Alligator mississippiensis: one gene and its partners. The protein of the gene in region 2 interacts with the protein of the main gene of each other region in a pairwise test. Links are inferred from orthologs where the notes say so. Each region holds a gene or a part of one and is shown on either strand. Other genes may lie near its edges.

Region 1 (3,970 bases), on a different chromosome or scaffold from region 2:
ACGATAAATTAAATTAATTTGAATTCAGTGTCTTAAATTTAGATTTTTAAGGGTTTAATGTTACATCAGATACCACACACGTATAAAACACACATCAGCCAATACAGTACTCAATTGCAGCAAGCGGTAACTTTGAAGTACAGACACCAATGCCACCCAGCAATGGAAGAAGCAACTCACAGCAAATAAATTAACCTCAATATTAATAATGCCTTCCAAAGAACATGCTAAAACTCCAGAATTCTTCTCATGTTGAATTAAAAATTGCTTCAGATTAGATACATTCATAAAGATTGCAACCCCAGAAAAGCAGATACAGAATACACTTGAAGTATATTGTTACCTTCATTTATTAGTCAGCTGCCAAATAAATTAACTATCAGAAATAAAGAGAATAGACAGAACTTTAAAGTTCAAGTGCAGACTCCAAGGTTCAAGCCCAGGTGTGCGGGCTGAGTGCATTACAATCAAAAATACCTACGAATAAAAACCTGGAGGCCTAGGGTTAGTTGTTATCTCCATATTTAGGCATCTGAAGCTGCCACTGACTTCAAATCACAAATGGCACAAACAAACAGATCGTAACTATGAGCCCTGTGTTTTCATAGCTTACTTGCTTAAAAGCAGGGCCGGGGGAACAATCTTCAGAGCAAACCCCTCCAGGTTTTACGCACAAGCTAAAGCTTCCAGCTTGGAATCCAGCCAGACCGACCAGCACAAAACCAAATCTCAGAGTGAACTGCAGACTCCAAAAACGGAACTGAGGTCTGAGTGCGTGTGGGAAGGGAGGCCAAAAGATTACAGTACACATGTTACCTTGGCACATCACAGGGCCTTGCTGTATTGTTGCTTTTAAACTCCTCTCAGAAACAGAGAGAGATTTTCCTATGTAAAATTACAGGCACAGTAAGCACCAAAGTAACAAACTAAAAAAAAAAAATTAAAAAAAAAAAGGGAAGATATGTTTTTTATATAGCTGCCTATGCGGTCGGGTCTTCCCTTCAAATTACAAAACTTCTCTCAAGTTTTCTCTACATTTTCACACGCTATGGCAAATCACTGCAGACTATCACACCTGACCCACCCATTTCCACCCACCACAGTCTCCTATGTGCATGTTACTTCCAGTTGTTTCATATTACAATTTATCTCATAGCTGGATAGCAGAAAGTGTTGATATCAGCCTGATTTAGTGGCTAGAGCTATGCTAATTTAGACTGTGATTTTGTATCCAACTGCAGTGGGGGAGACCCAGGCATGGCATCTGTGCTCATCCTCAGCATTCAGGTCCTAAGGAACCAAATTCTGTACCATGGGGGCAGATCCATGTTGCACCCCACTCTGATTCCAGCAGCAGCAACATTTCTGGTCAAGCAGCACTGAGGAAGTCAATTGACTTTATGGCTCATTATAATCTACCTGATCCCTTCTAAACATTTCACTCCACAGGTGTTACCGACCCTCTCTGCTTCTGAATGGTTTCTCTGTCCCAGCCGCCAGCCAGCCTTTGTTCTGCACTGCGACTGTCAGCTGCTCCTGGTCCCGATGCTCCTACTTCACAGCCTCCCAGGTTGTCTTTACCTCATTCCAATAGAAATTATATCTGTTTTTCCTTTCACCTTAAACAGAATAGTCCAGCCCTAGGCCCCGAGCATGGTAGTTTCTACCTGGAGAAATATACTGTATTTACTCGACTCTGAGACAGCCCTGCATTTAACTTACCCCTCCTCCCACTCCATTAGACTCTATAGATAGAAAATGTATGAGTTTGTCATAATTGTTTTGTTATCGGAGGGTCATCTTCAATTCATCCTCCCAACTGGTACAGAAGGGAAAGCAGCGGCTGGGAGAGGGGAGGATCAGGTAGCTGGGAGAGGGGAGGTCATCGGGCAGGCCGCCCCCCCTTGGCCTCTGCCCCCTTCCTGCCCCCCTCACGGTCAAGGCTGCTGAGGCCGCTCCCCCGCGCGCAGCCCCTGCCGCCGGCGGGGCAGAGGGGACCAGGGGGGCAAGCGGCTGCTGTGGGTCTGACCCAGGCTCAGGGCGGGAGTGGGAACCGCCCCCCCAATCCCACTGCGGCTCGTCTTAGATGCGAGGCACTGGGGCAGGGCAGCCTCTCTGGGGGACGAGGCGGCTCAGAGCTGCCCCCTCCGCAAGCCGCGCTCAGCCCCAGCCCGTCCCGCGAGGGCTCCCCGCGCCCTCCCGGGTCACGCACCCGCCGGCCCCCCGCGGCCACTCACCGCCCCGGCCGGCGACTCCGCTCCGGCTCCGGCTCCGGCTCCCGCCCGCGCTCTCTCGCTCTCCCTTCCTCATTCCCCGCCTCTCCCGGCGCGGGGAGTTTCCTCGGCGGCGCGGGCTTCCCCGGCGCGGGGCCGAGCCGCCGCGCCGCGCCGCCCCTCGCCGCTCCAGCGACGGCCCGGCCCGGCCTCTCCTCTCGCAGCACCAGCCCGAGCCGGGCCTCCCGCGACCCCTGCCCAGCCACGGAGAGCGCGGGCCAGTGCAGGGGGCAGGAGGACGCCCCTGCCCGAGCCGCCGGCCGCTCTCCCTCTCAGGCGAGTAACTGGCCACAGGCGTCAAGGGGGAAAACAAAAAAAAGGCAAAATGCACGGGACGAGGGAAGTCCCGTGACTGCCGGGCGAAGGGGAAGCAGTCAAATCGAGAGTTGAAACGTTCAAAAAAAATGGAGACTTAACCTCCCCCCCCCGAAAAAAACCCATGAATTAAAATGAAGGGGACTGCAGGCAAGGGTGAGATTCGGCTGCCTTTAATCATTTATGTTTCCATCAAAAGGCAGCACTGAAAAAAATAAATGCAGAGATGATACCAAGCATTGGGTTGTGGAGAAAGGAGCTTGAACTAGCAGCAAATGCACTGCAAGAATCCTTTTTGGTCAAGGGAAATTAGGGGAATTACTAGGAAACAACGTGCGACAAAGATGAGTGGAAGTACCATAGACTGGGGAAAGGACTGATTGTTTGGTAGGCGCTGACCAGGAACCAACAGAGTAGCGCCCTGATCCAGGTTGTTATTTGTGTTGTTATACCTAAAGACACAGACAGGGGGTACACAGTAACCCCAAAACTCTCTTTTGCCCCTTCCTCCTCTCAAAACTGGCAAAAAAGTTGGTACACAGTGCATTGTGCAGCGCTTTAAATTCCCCAGTAATAATGTGGTGTACTGTGCTTTGTGCAGCACTGGGCTCAGCCCTCCTAGCTTTAACCAACATCACCTCTAGCTCAGGTACATACTCGAGTTGTGCACCCCTGGTGCAAAAGGTGGCAATCCTACCCACACCAGATCAGACATCTGTCATGTCATGCCCTTATATATACAGCTGTTCTTCCAAAATATGGCACACAGTCTGCAAATATAATATCCCCTGGAAAATTGAGTGTTGGGGTACTTATTAACATTTTCATAAGTTAGGGGGCACTTGCTACTTAAAAGGTTGAGAAACACTGAGCAAAACGCACCAAATGACCCTCACCAATGAAGCGAATGCTGGACTGTAGTACTGCAGAAACAGGCCTATGTTCCATCTGCCAGATTGAATAATTTCGATTTTTTTTCCATCTGACATTTGAAAGGTTAATGCCATCTTAAAATAATGTTAGTGAAGTAGTAAAGGAAACTTTAGAAATGTAAAGAAACAACATGCTAAAAAATGTCAAAAGGAGCAACTTGCTATACAAGGTGGCATTAACTGTGTGATAAATGTAGATGTGCTGTACATGCAAAGTAATTAGCACACAACAAAAATGGCCAATCAGCCACAAAGATGTTGATTGGAAGTGTAGAACTTTTTGTAGCTGGTGTCCATCTGGTTTTAATTTGAATGCGTGGCATGTGATGGGTCTCTGCTGTTTTCTGGCATCCCAAGCTGCATTGTCCCTTCCCCACCTCACCAACCACATAGCAGCCAGGGCTGTGAACACCACCTAAGCTCTGAAACGCAGGTCTCGCGATGTTTCTT
Region 2 (3,970 bases):
TTGACTTGAAACACCTTAGAAGAGGCCTGACTTTCAGAAAAGCCTATGCACCCCCTCTCTAAAAAATCAGGTCCCTTGCAGGTATCAAGTCAGACAAAAAGGAAACCGTCTCTATTTCCAATCACATAAAAATTCAGACCAAAACACCTGATGTGAACTGCATGATAAATCCCACTGTTTATAGACACCACCTTACACTGAGCTGCACTAGAATTTTTAAATTGATACAATTTAATCTGCAGAGAACGCTTGATAAAAGGGCCAAAACTAAGATGGTGGGAGTGGGTATTGATGGTTGCTCAACACTGTAGAAATATCAGGCCATCCTATTAGATACCTAACTATGGATTTAGAGCCGAACTTTTGCCCCTATTTCTGAATATTTTTCCAGAACTATCATTCAAAATAGGTTTAAGTCTGGCACTTTAAATTTAACAATAAATATTGAAAATATGAGTAACCTCATAACAAAAGCAAGAGGGGAAGAGTATTTCTATCAATGTACTATTTTTTTCCCTCTTCTTTCCTACGATCAACATTTACCTACATTCAATTCTAATGCATCAAAACACCATACAGGTCAGTCGCATCATACACACATTTAACTTGCGCGAATTCAACTATACGTGGGGTGGGAGGGGGGGCAGGGCTCGAGTTTGCATGTGTGCCCGGAGCTGTGGCTGGCCGCCGGGTGGGAGCAGCAGCATGGTGGTGCCCGGGCGGCACGCAGCCATCCCCACCCTGCACTGCCGCCGCCAGCCACACAGCTCTAAGCACGGCTCCGCAGCGGCGGCGGGAGGTTTTGGAGGCAGAGGCAGTCACTGCTGGCATGGTAATATGCGATTTCACTATACACGATTTTCGCCTTACGCACCGACTTTAACGTAACCCCTGCGTAAGATGCGACTGACCTGTACTTATTTCTTGCAGTTACACATAGTGATACAGGGTCTGATCTTTCAGAAGTAAAGTCATTAGACACTCGAAATGCTTTTGAAAGTCACGATTCCCATCAGAGCACACACCAACTGCTGAAGCTTCCTTAGCCTGATGAAGGGGTTTTGAACCCAAAAGCTTACTTAATAACTATTCTCCAACCATTTGGGTTGGTCTAATAAAAGATATCAAATTCACCCAAGGAACCTTGTCTGCCTACGATCCCCATCAAGGATTTGAATGAGCATAGTGGATAAAGAGGAAATTTATGTTGGAGAATGGTTAGCCTTTTTATATTACAAACATAGCAGTTGGTAATTCAATTCGGGTCAGACTCGATGATCTAATAGGTCCCTTCTGACTCTCAAATCAATGAAATCTATGAATACCCTTTTTTGGGGGAAGGCAGAACAACTAGTAGGGGACCATGATCTGGTGTGCGTGGCGGAGTCTTGCTTCTTTGAAGATCTCTTTTTTTTTGTTGGTGTTCATTTGTTTGCAAAATAATTATTGCACATCGAACAGTGGGCCACCAACATTAGAAATGTTTTTTAATACAAAGCATCCGGTAGGTAACCTTCACTTAATCTGCTTGGGGGTTTTCAAGAGGAGTTTGGACAGATATCTGGCTGAGGTACTACGATCCCGGCACTCGTTCCTGCCCGGGGTAGGGGGTCGGGCTTGATGATCTGTTCAGGTCCCGTCCGACCCTAGAAACGACAAAACTATAAGAAACTACGCTGTACACGCAACACACCGCTTAGCTTCATTGCTCTACCTCAGCCATAACAAGCAGCTCCCGTGTCGCGGCGCTCAGGGACCGGCTGTCGCATCCCGCGGCTCTCCTTCGTGACGCTGCTTAAAAAAAAATCAGGAAGGAGAAAACCAATGAGTCCGAAAACAAGCCCAGGACAGCGACACCGACATCTGCTGCGGAACGATATTTTGCAAGGGCCAACTAAAAAAATTATCAGAGCCGCGGTCCATGCCGGGAAGGTCGCGGTTGGGCTGCCAACGAGAATTTAATATCCCTGAAGACCCAGATTTTTTTTTTTTAAATGACAAATATCTGCACAGATTTTCTAGCGCGACCCCAAGGGTCAGCGGCGGGACGGGGGGGCGTTTCAGGACCACCCTGCAGCGGGGCACTGGGTAGCTCGGCAGAGGATGCCCAGGAAATGCCTCTTTGATGGCGCTGGGTTTCTTTGGGCCGTGAGGAAACCAGAGAGCAGCCAGAGGGTGGGGGAGGCAGCTCAGCAGCTGGGGGGCCCTCCAAGGTCCTGGGGGAAAACCAGGGCTGGCCCCGACCGGGAAGGCCTCAACCCCGGTCTAGTAGGAGACCTTAAACCCCTCACCCTCACCCGCCGCCGATAACCCCACCCGAAAGGAATCCAGCTTCCGGCTTCCTGTCCTCTGACTTCCTGTTGTGGCCCCGCCCCGGAAGGAACCGTCTTCCGGCTTGCGAGCTTTCTGCACAGCCCCTCATCCGCCGCTCCGAAGGAGTTGGCTTCCGGCTTCCGGCGCTGCGCGCGCAGTCACGCAGCCCCGCGGCTCGGAGGAGGCGGCGGCGCCGCGGGGCCCGCTCGGGCCGGTGCAGGCGCTGCCATTGCGGGAGCGGAGGAGCCGAGGTAGGAGTAGAGAGAGGCCAGTTGCTGCACAGGAAGGCAGGCTCTTCCCCCCCCCCCCCGCAAAAAAAAATTCCCAGTCAAACCAGGCGTATAAAAATTCCTCCTGCCCCCCACAGCGCTGGTTTCAGTGCAGACAGCGGGCAGGTTGCGGTTGCGGTGCCCCCCCGGGCTGCAGGGGGGGGCCCGTCAGGCGTTAGTGGCCTATGGGTAGGGAAAGGTCAGGCTGGTGTCCCGGGAATGGGAGACGAATAAGACGGACTGGACTCGGAGGCAGGCGGACGTGGCGACGAAGGGTGCGGATGACGGTTATCAACCAGCACCCCCCGTTTCGACTTGGCGATGTCGGTTTCGACTCGGCGACGCTGGATCCGGCGCGCCGGCGTCGCCCGTCTGCCTGGAGAGCATCTGTCCGAACGTCCTCGGGCGCTTTGAAGAAGGCAGGCGAGACTCCAGGAAACCTGCGGCCAAGACTCGTGAGGAGACTGGAAAGGTCCGGCCGAGTCGCCTCAAAGAAGTCCTTCCAAATCCTTACGATTGCTATGTATGATACGAATGCAGCTGTGTATCCAGGTTGTAGCCGTATTGGTCTAGAGGAAAAGGCGATCACGCCTCGTAGTCGAGGTGATCTCGTTTATTTGGCCAATAAGATTTTTGCAAAAAAATTCTTTTCCTTTTTTTGCAAAAAACCTTGTTGGTCTAATAAAAGAGATCATCTCTACTACGAGTCTTGATTGCCTTTCACTGTTGCTATATTACTTATGTGTAATTGATTGAGTACAATTTCTGAGTTATTTTTGGTGGGAAGATGGTATCGGTTCAGAAACCAATCCCCCAATTATAACATTGTTTCCTATGGGAAACTGCATTGCGAATTACAATGTTTCACCTTAAGACACGGTTTTCAGGATTGAGTGGTGCTGTAAGTCCGAGGACGGCCTGTATAGAATATAATTAATGGTTGAGACAAGGGCAGCCTGTGCTTCTTTCTCCCTGTCTGGACTCGAAAATAAAGGGAAATGCGCTGAAATTGAAGAGGGAGATTTAAAACTGGTATGAAGAGGTGTTTCGCACGTTATTTAAATTGTGGCATTTGTTACAAGGAAGCTGTTGGGTAAGATGGAGAGAAGAACAAGATTTACAAACGGACTGGATTGTCAAGACTTGTTACAATTCATTATTTGTACTGCAAGACTTACACTAAGCATTTTGGAGCGGTGACTTTCTTAGTTTTGTTTTGCACAATACCTTCCCCGATTGGATTGAGTCCCTGCCGAGGTCTCCTAGGAGCTACTGTAACATAACTATTAGAGACCAGGTTGAGACCTCAGTGGGAAGCCACTTATTCCCCATCTTAGTAGTGTTGTGTTTGTGCACCTTCCTCCAAAGTATTTGTAGCTGGTCATTGC
Region 3 (3,970 bases), about 140 Mb from region 2:
GGTGCCCTCCTGAACTCCCTTCCAACCCAACCCTCATTTTCCATGATTCAACCTTCCCAGTAAACAAGGGCATTTGTCTCCAAAAGCTTGCAAAGAACAATTTTTTTTCCACTATTCAGCTGGTCTAATAAAATAAACCACCTTTTCCCGAAGGCAGGCTAGGTTCCTTGGGTCGATGCGATCTCTTTCATTACACCCAAGGAGTTGGAACAAAGTGCTCTGCAAGCTTTCAGGCACAAGCGCCCTTCCTCAGGCATAAAGTGCTAAAACAAAGTTTATTTCCCACCTAGGGGAACTTTTGACCCTCTTTAATTTTCCCAGAGCCTGAGGAAGGAAATGGATCACCAAAATGGATTAACAAAATGCATTTGAGCCTGAAAGCTTGCCAAAAAAAAAAAAAATTCTTTTTCTTTTTTTGCAGTTTCTTGATTGCTCTAATAGAAGGCATCATCTCTGAACCAAAAGGTCTAGGGTTTTGCATTTCCTTTAGTCTCAGGCTGGCACGGCTACCAAATACACCAGTTCTTCAGGCAAAGGGAGACTCCCATTTACCCAAAGAACCTTGTTTTGGGTTTTTTGGGGGGGTTTGTTTTGCAAATACATATACATATATACAAAACAAAAAAACAAAAACCAAAACAAGGTTCATATATATGTAAACTCTACCTCCAACACTCCACCAAGTAGCTGTGGTGGTTCACTTGGCAGATCAAAGCAGACAGTTATTAAAAAACCCCTGTCTGAGCATACCAGTAGCTTCTGGTTTCTGAACGGAAGAAAAGCGGTGCCGTGCTAGCTGTGAGGATGCTCCCCCCATGCCCTCAGCGCCCCCCGAGGAAAGCAGAGCCAGAGCACAGCAGCGAACATCCCTCCACCCAACCCGGGCACGCGTGCTGGAACAAACTCCGCCTACTCCCGCCTCGGACCCGGGCGGGGCGGGGCCCTCTAGCTGCTGCTGCTGCAGCAGCAGCAGGGGGGAGGGGTGAGGCGGGGTCACGTGGTTCGGGGCGGGACGACGCAGGCGCAGCGCGGGCGCGGGCCGGCATGGGGCGCAGGAGGCCTGTTGGGCGTGGGGAGCCGCGGCGGGCTGTGGTCTTCGATGAGGAGCAGCGGCGGTGAGCACCTTCTGCCGCACCCACGAGGCAGGCAGTCCCCTGCCTCGCCCTGGGGACACTTCATAGGAGCTTGAGCAGAGGGGGTCTGCGCGGGGCGGCCTGGTCCCCACCCCATGGAGAGCTTCGGGCCGTGCTGAGCTGGGCCCCTGCCTCCTGCGGGTGCTGGAAGGGGCAAGGCACCCGGTGATTCTCAGCCGGGGTTCCCGTCAGGTCCCTGTAAGGCAGCCCTGCTCTCCGAGCACACCTCTGCACCGTGTGGGAGAAAAACCCTGGTGCTTCCAAGAGGAACCCACAAGGCCGGTGGTGTTCCGAGCCCGGCTCTCTGCTGCCGGAAAACTGCTCCCTTCTCTCCTCCTAGTCGAGAAGTGAGCAGAAGCTCAGTGCTGGTGTTTTTTCTGCGGGTATCTGGAGTCTGTTGGAGGGTACCCTGCATCTGTGATGATGGGGAACTGCTGGCCTAACTTGCACCGTGCCTGTTTTTTTTTCACTCAGCACGGAGCCTCACGGTGCTGGGGAAGCTGACAGCTTAGCCAGAGTCTGAAAGGAGTGGGTGGGCCCAAGTCTTGGAGAGAAGGGGCATCAGGAGTGGTTGAGCGCGGGAGTGAGGGGCATGGGTTCTGAATTGGAACTTCCTCCACCTTAAATGCCAGCATTGAGGTTGCAAGTGAGAGAGGAACCGGCGGGTGGGGGGTGGTAAACCCTGGTCATACCCAGTTCACTCTCCTGTTCAGCACCTGATCTCTGCCTGGTGACAAGCCTTTTGATATGCCTAGTGGATCATGGGCTTGGGCCTATCAAGGAGCAACTATAAGCCTCCCTTAGTAGGGAGGCCACTGGGGACATACCAGCTGATTTTTGAGGGATAGCTAAAGAGAAAACAGGGACAGGAGTGAGGTCAAAGTTTTAAAACAAGTGCAGAGTACACCAGACGATGCTCACTAGCCCCCAAATGCATCCAAGGAGCCAGTGGACACTGCCCAGTAAAACTCTGCCTGGAGATGAGAGCGAACCAGAGACAAGAAAATGGCCCTGCAGTCCCTTGGGTCCTCCCAGCAAGAGTCTCCTGCCTGGCTAGGTAGACAGCTAGCTTGGCTAAGCTAGGAGGAGGTTGACTAGGAGGTCCCTGGACTTAGTGGGGTTATGGATGGGGAGTGCATAAACAAAAAGGTATGGGTAGTAGTGGAGCCAAAACCTCAGCAAGAGGTTGCGGAGGAAGTGGTGGATGGGCTGCAGCCTGGCACACTCGAGGTAGGCATGCAGCTGGGTCTCCTTTTGCTTGTACAAGGGGCAGGTGTCGGGGGAGTCTGTGAAGCATGCCAGGTACGCACCCATGGCAGTGGCTCTATGGAGAATACTGGGCGAAATGGACTTGTGGTCTGACCCAGTATATGGCAATTCTTATGTGCTTATGTTGTTTTTATGTTGCAGAGAGTACCTGACTGGATTCCACAAGCGGAAAGTAGAGCGAAGGAAAGCAGCTGTGGAGGAAATCAAACGTAAACTGAAAGAAGAGCAAAGGAAGATGAAAGAGGAGGTATTGTTTCTCCATGGGCTTGTGTGGCTAGCTGGTTAGAAGTGGTGATTCAAGGTTTTATGGTCAGGGTTGCATAGTATGTCTGGGGGACCCCATCTGGAATTGCAAGGGGGATGCAGGCACAGGTAAAATGTATTTGTTAAAAGGATGCCAGAGAGGAACAAGGCAGGAATGGAGTTAGCCAGAGGTTTTGCAGGAGAAGGGTTGTGTGGTTCAGCAGGGCTGCGTGGTGGTTCCAGGACCACAAGGACAGGCAGAGGGTGTTGGGAGGGCAGACATGAGGTACACAGACAGGGGTGTTAATGGAAGGAGTTTAGGCAGCACCTTTTCTGGAAGCTGTAGCCCATACTGTCAGTATAAGAATTCTCAACTCCTTAAACTGTTTTGCAGCTTCCTCTAGCCCTCTTGTAGAGGGTGGGGTGTACCCATGTGCTGTGGGCTTTAAGAGTAGGGGGCATAGATGGCAGCTAGTAAAATAGAAGTACTGCAATGATTTTTGCTTCCTTTTTAGCGGCACAAGGAGTACCTGAAAATGCTGACAGAGAGAGAAGAGGCTCTTGGTGAGTGTTTCCTCCCATGGTTGATGTTGTTTGCTAGACGTGAAATGGTAGTCTGAGGTTTGCAAGAAATTGGCTAGGGTGCTGAACCTAGAAGGAGAGGTTGTAATTTGAGGCTCAATCTGATGCTTTAGGGTTTTATTTTCTGTTTTGCCATGGGGATATGTATCCATTCTTCTAGTCCCTGGGAATGGTGGGAGTTGGGAGTACAGCAGAGACTCAGCAGTAATGGCATCTTATTACTCCTGTGTCTCACTGAGAAGCAGTGGTGAGGTGCTTTGAAGAACAACCCCTCATTCACTGGCTGGAAGGAGGGTGGCTGCATATTGTAGAAGTGACAGGCATATTGTATGTAAAGGAATAACTTAGAGAAAATCCTTAAGGTCCTGTTGGCGTGTAACTCCATTTGTGAAGAGAGACTATGTTTGCTTGTAGTGAACTGTTACCTGCCTCTATTACTTCAGACTTGCAGCCTTTCAACTCTCAGTGGCCAACTTACAAGATTTGGGGTCTCCACCCCTCAGAGCTTAGTAAACGGAGTTAGAGTGTTTTAGCTTGAGATGCCCAGCTGGTCTGTGTAAGACTGTACATGCCTCTCCTGCATGGACAATAGAGTATCTCCTCTCTGTAGATGAGGCTGATGAGCTGGAGCATTTGGTGACATCCCAGACAGAGTCTGTGAATATTGATCACCCAAACCACACGGTAACAGTGACCACCATCAGTGACCTGGACCTCTCGGGAGCACGCCAACTAGGACTTAC

The links.
Region 1: the proteins of CEP70 (region 2) and ARHGEF3 interact in binary tests that used the Homo sapiens proteins (3 or more experiments, as listed by UniProt). The link is inferred for Alligator mississippiensis from reciprocal best matches to the Homo sapiens genes CEP70 and ARHGEF3.
Region 3: the proteins of CEP70 (region 2) and NOL12 interact in binary tests that used the Homo sapiens proteins (3 or more experiments, as listed by UniProt). The two-hybrid records come from large-scale screens. The link is inferred for Alligator mississippiensis from reciprocal best matches to the Homo sapiens genes CEP70 and NOL12.

Annotation. Positions count from the first base shown.
Region 1 is NC_081835.1:21,411,224-21,415,193, reverse strand, and holds the start of ARHGEF3 (rho guanine nucleotide exchange factor 3), read right to left. Parts: upstream 2,386-3,970; 5' UTR 2,311-2,385; coding exon 2,238-2,310; intron 1-2,237. UniProt on the Homo sapiens protein: Acts as a guanine nucleotide exchange factor (GEF) for RhoA and RhoB GTPases.
Region 2 is NC_081827.1:243,542,931-243,546,900, forward strand, and holds the start of CEP70 (centrosomal protein of 70 kDa), read right to left. Parts: upstream 2,594-3,970; 5' UTR 2,423-2,593; coding exon 2,317-2,422; exon of another isoform or gene 2,292-2,316; intron 2,251-2,291; exon of another isoform or gene 1,795-2,250; coding exon 1,715-1,794; exon of another isoform or gene 1,694-1,714; intron 1-1,693. Other genes in the region: FAIM (fas apoptotic inhibitory molecule 1), read left to right, coding at 2,768-3,054.
Region 3 is NC_081827.1:100,081,322-100,085,291, reverse strand, and holds the start of NOL12 (nucleolar protein 12), read left to right. Parts: upstream 1-1,005; 5' UTR 1,006-1,044; coding exon 1,045-1,115; intron 1,116-2,543; coding exon 2,544-2,649; intron 2,650-3,160; coding exon 3,161-3,209; intron 3,210-3,837; coding exon 3,838-3,970. UniProt on the Homo sapiens protein: Multifunctional RNA binding protein that plays a role in RNA metabolism and DNA maintenance. Participates in the resolution of DNA stress and the maintenance of genome integrity by localizing to sites of DNA insults.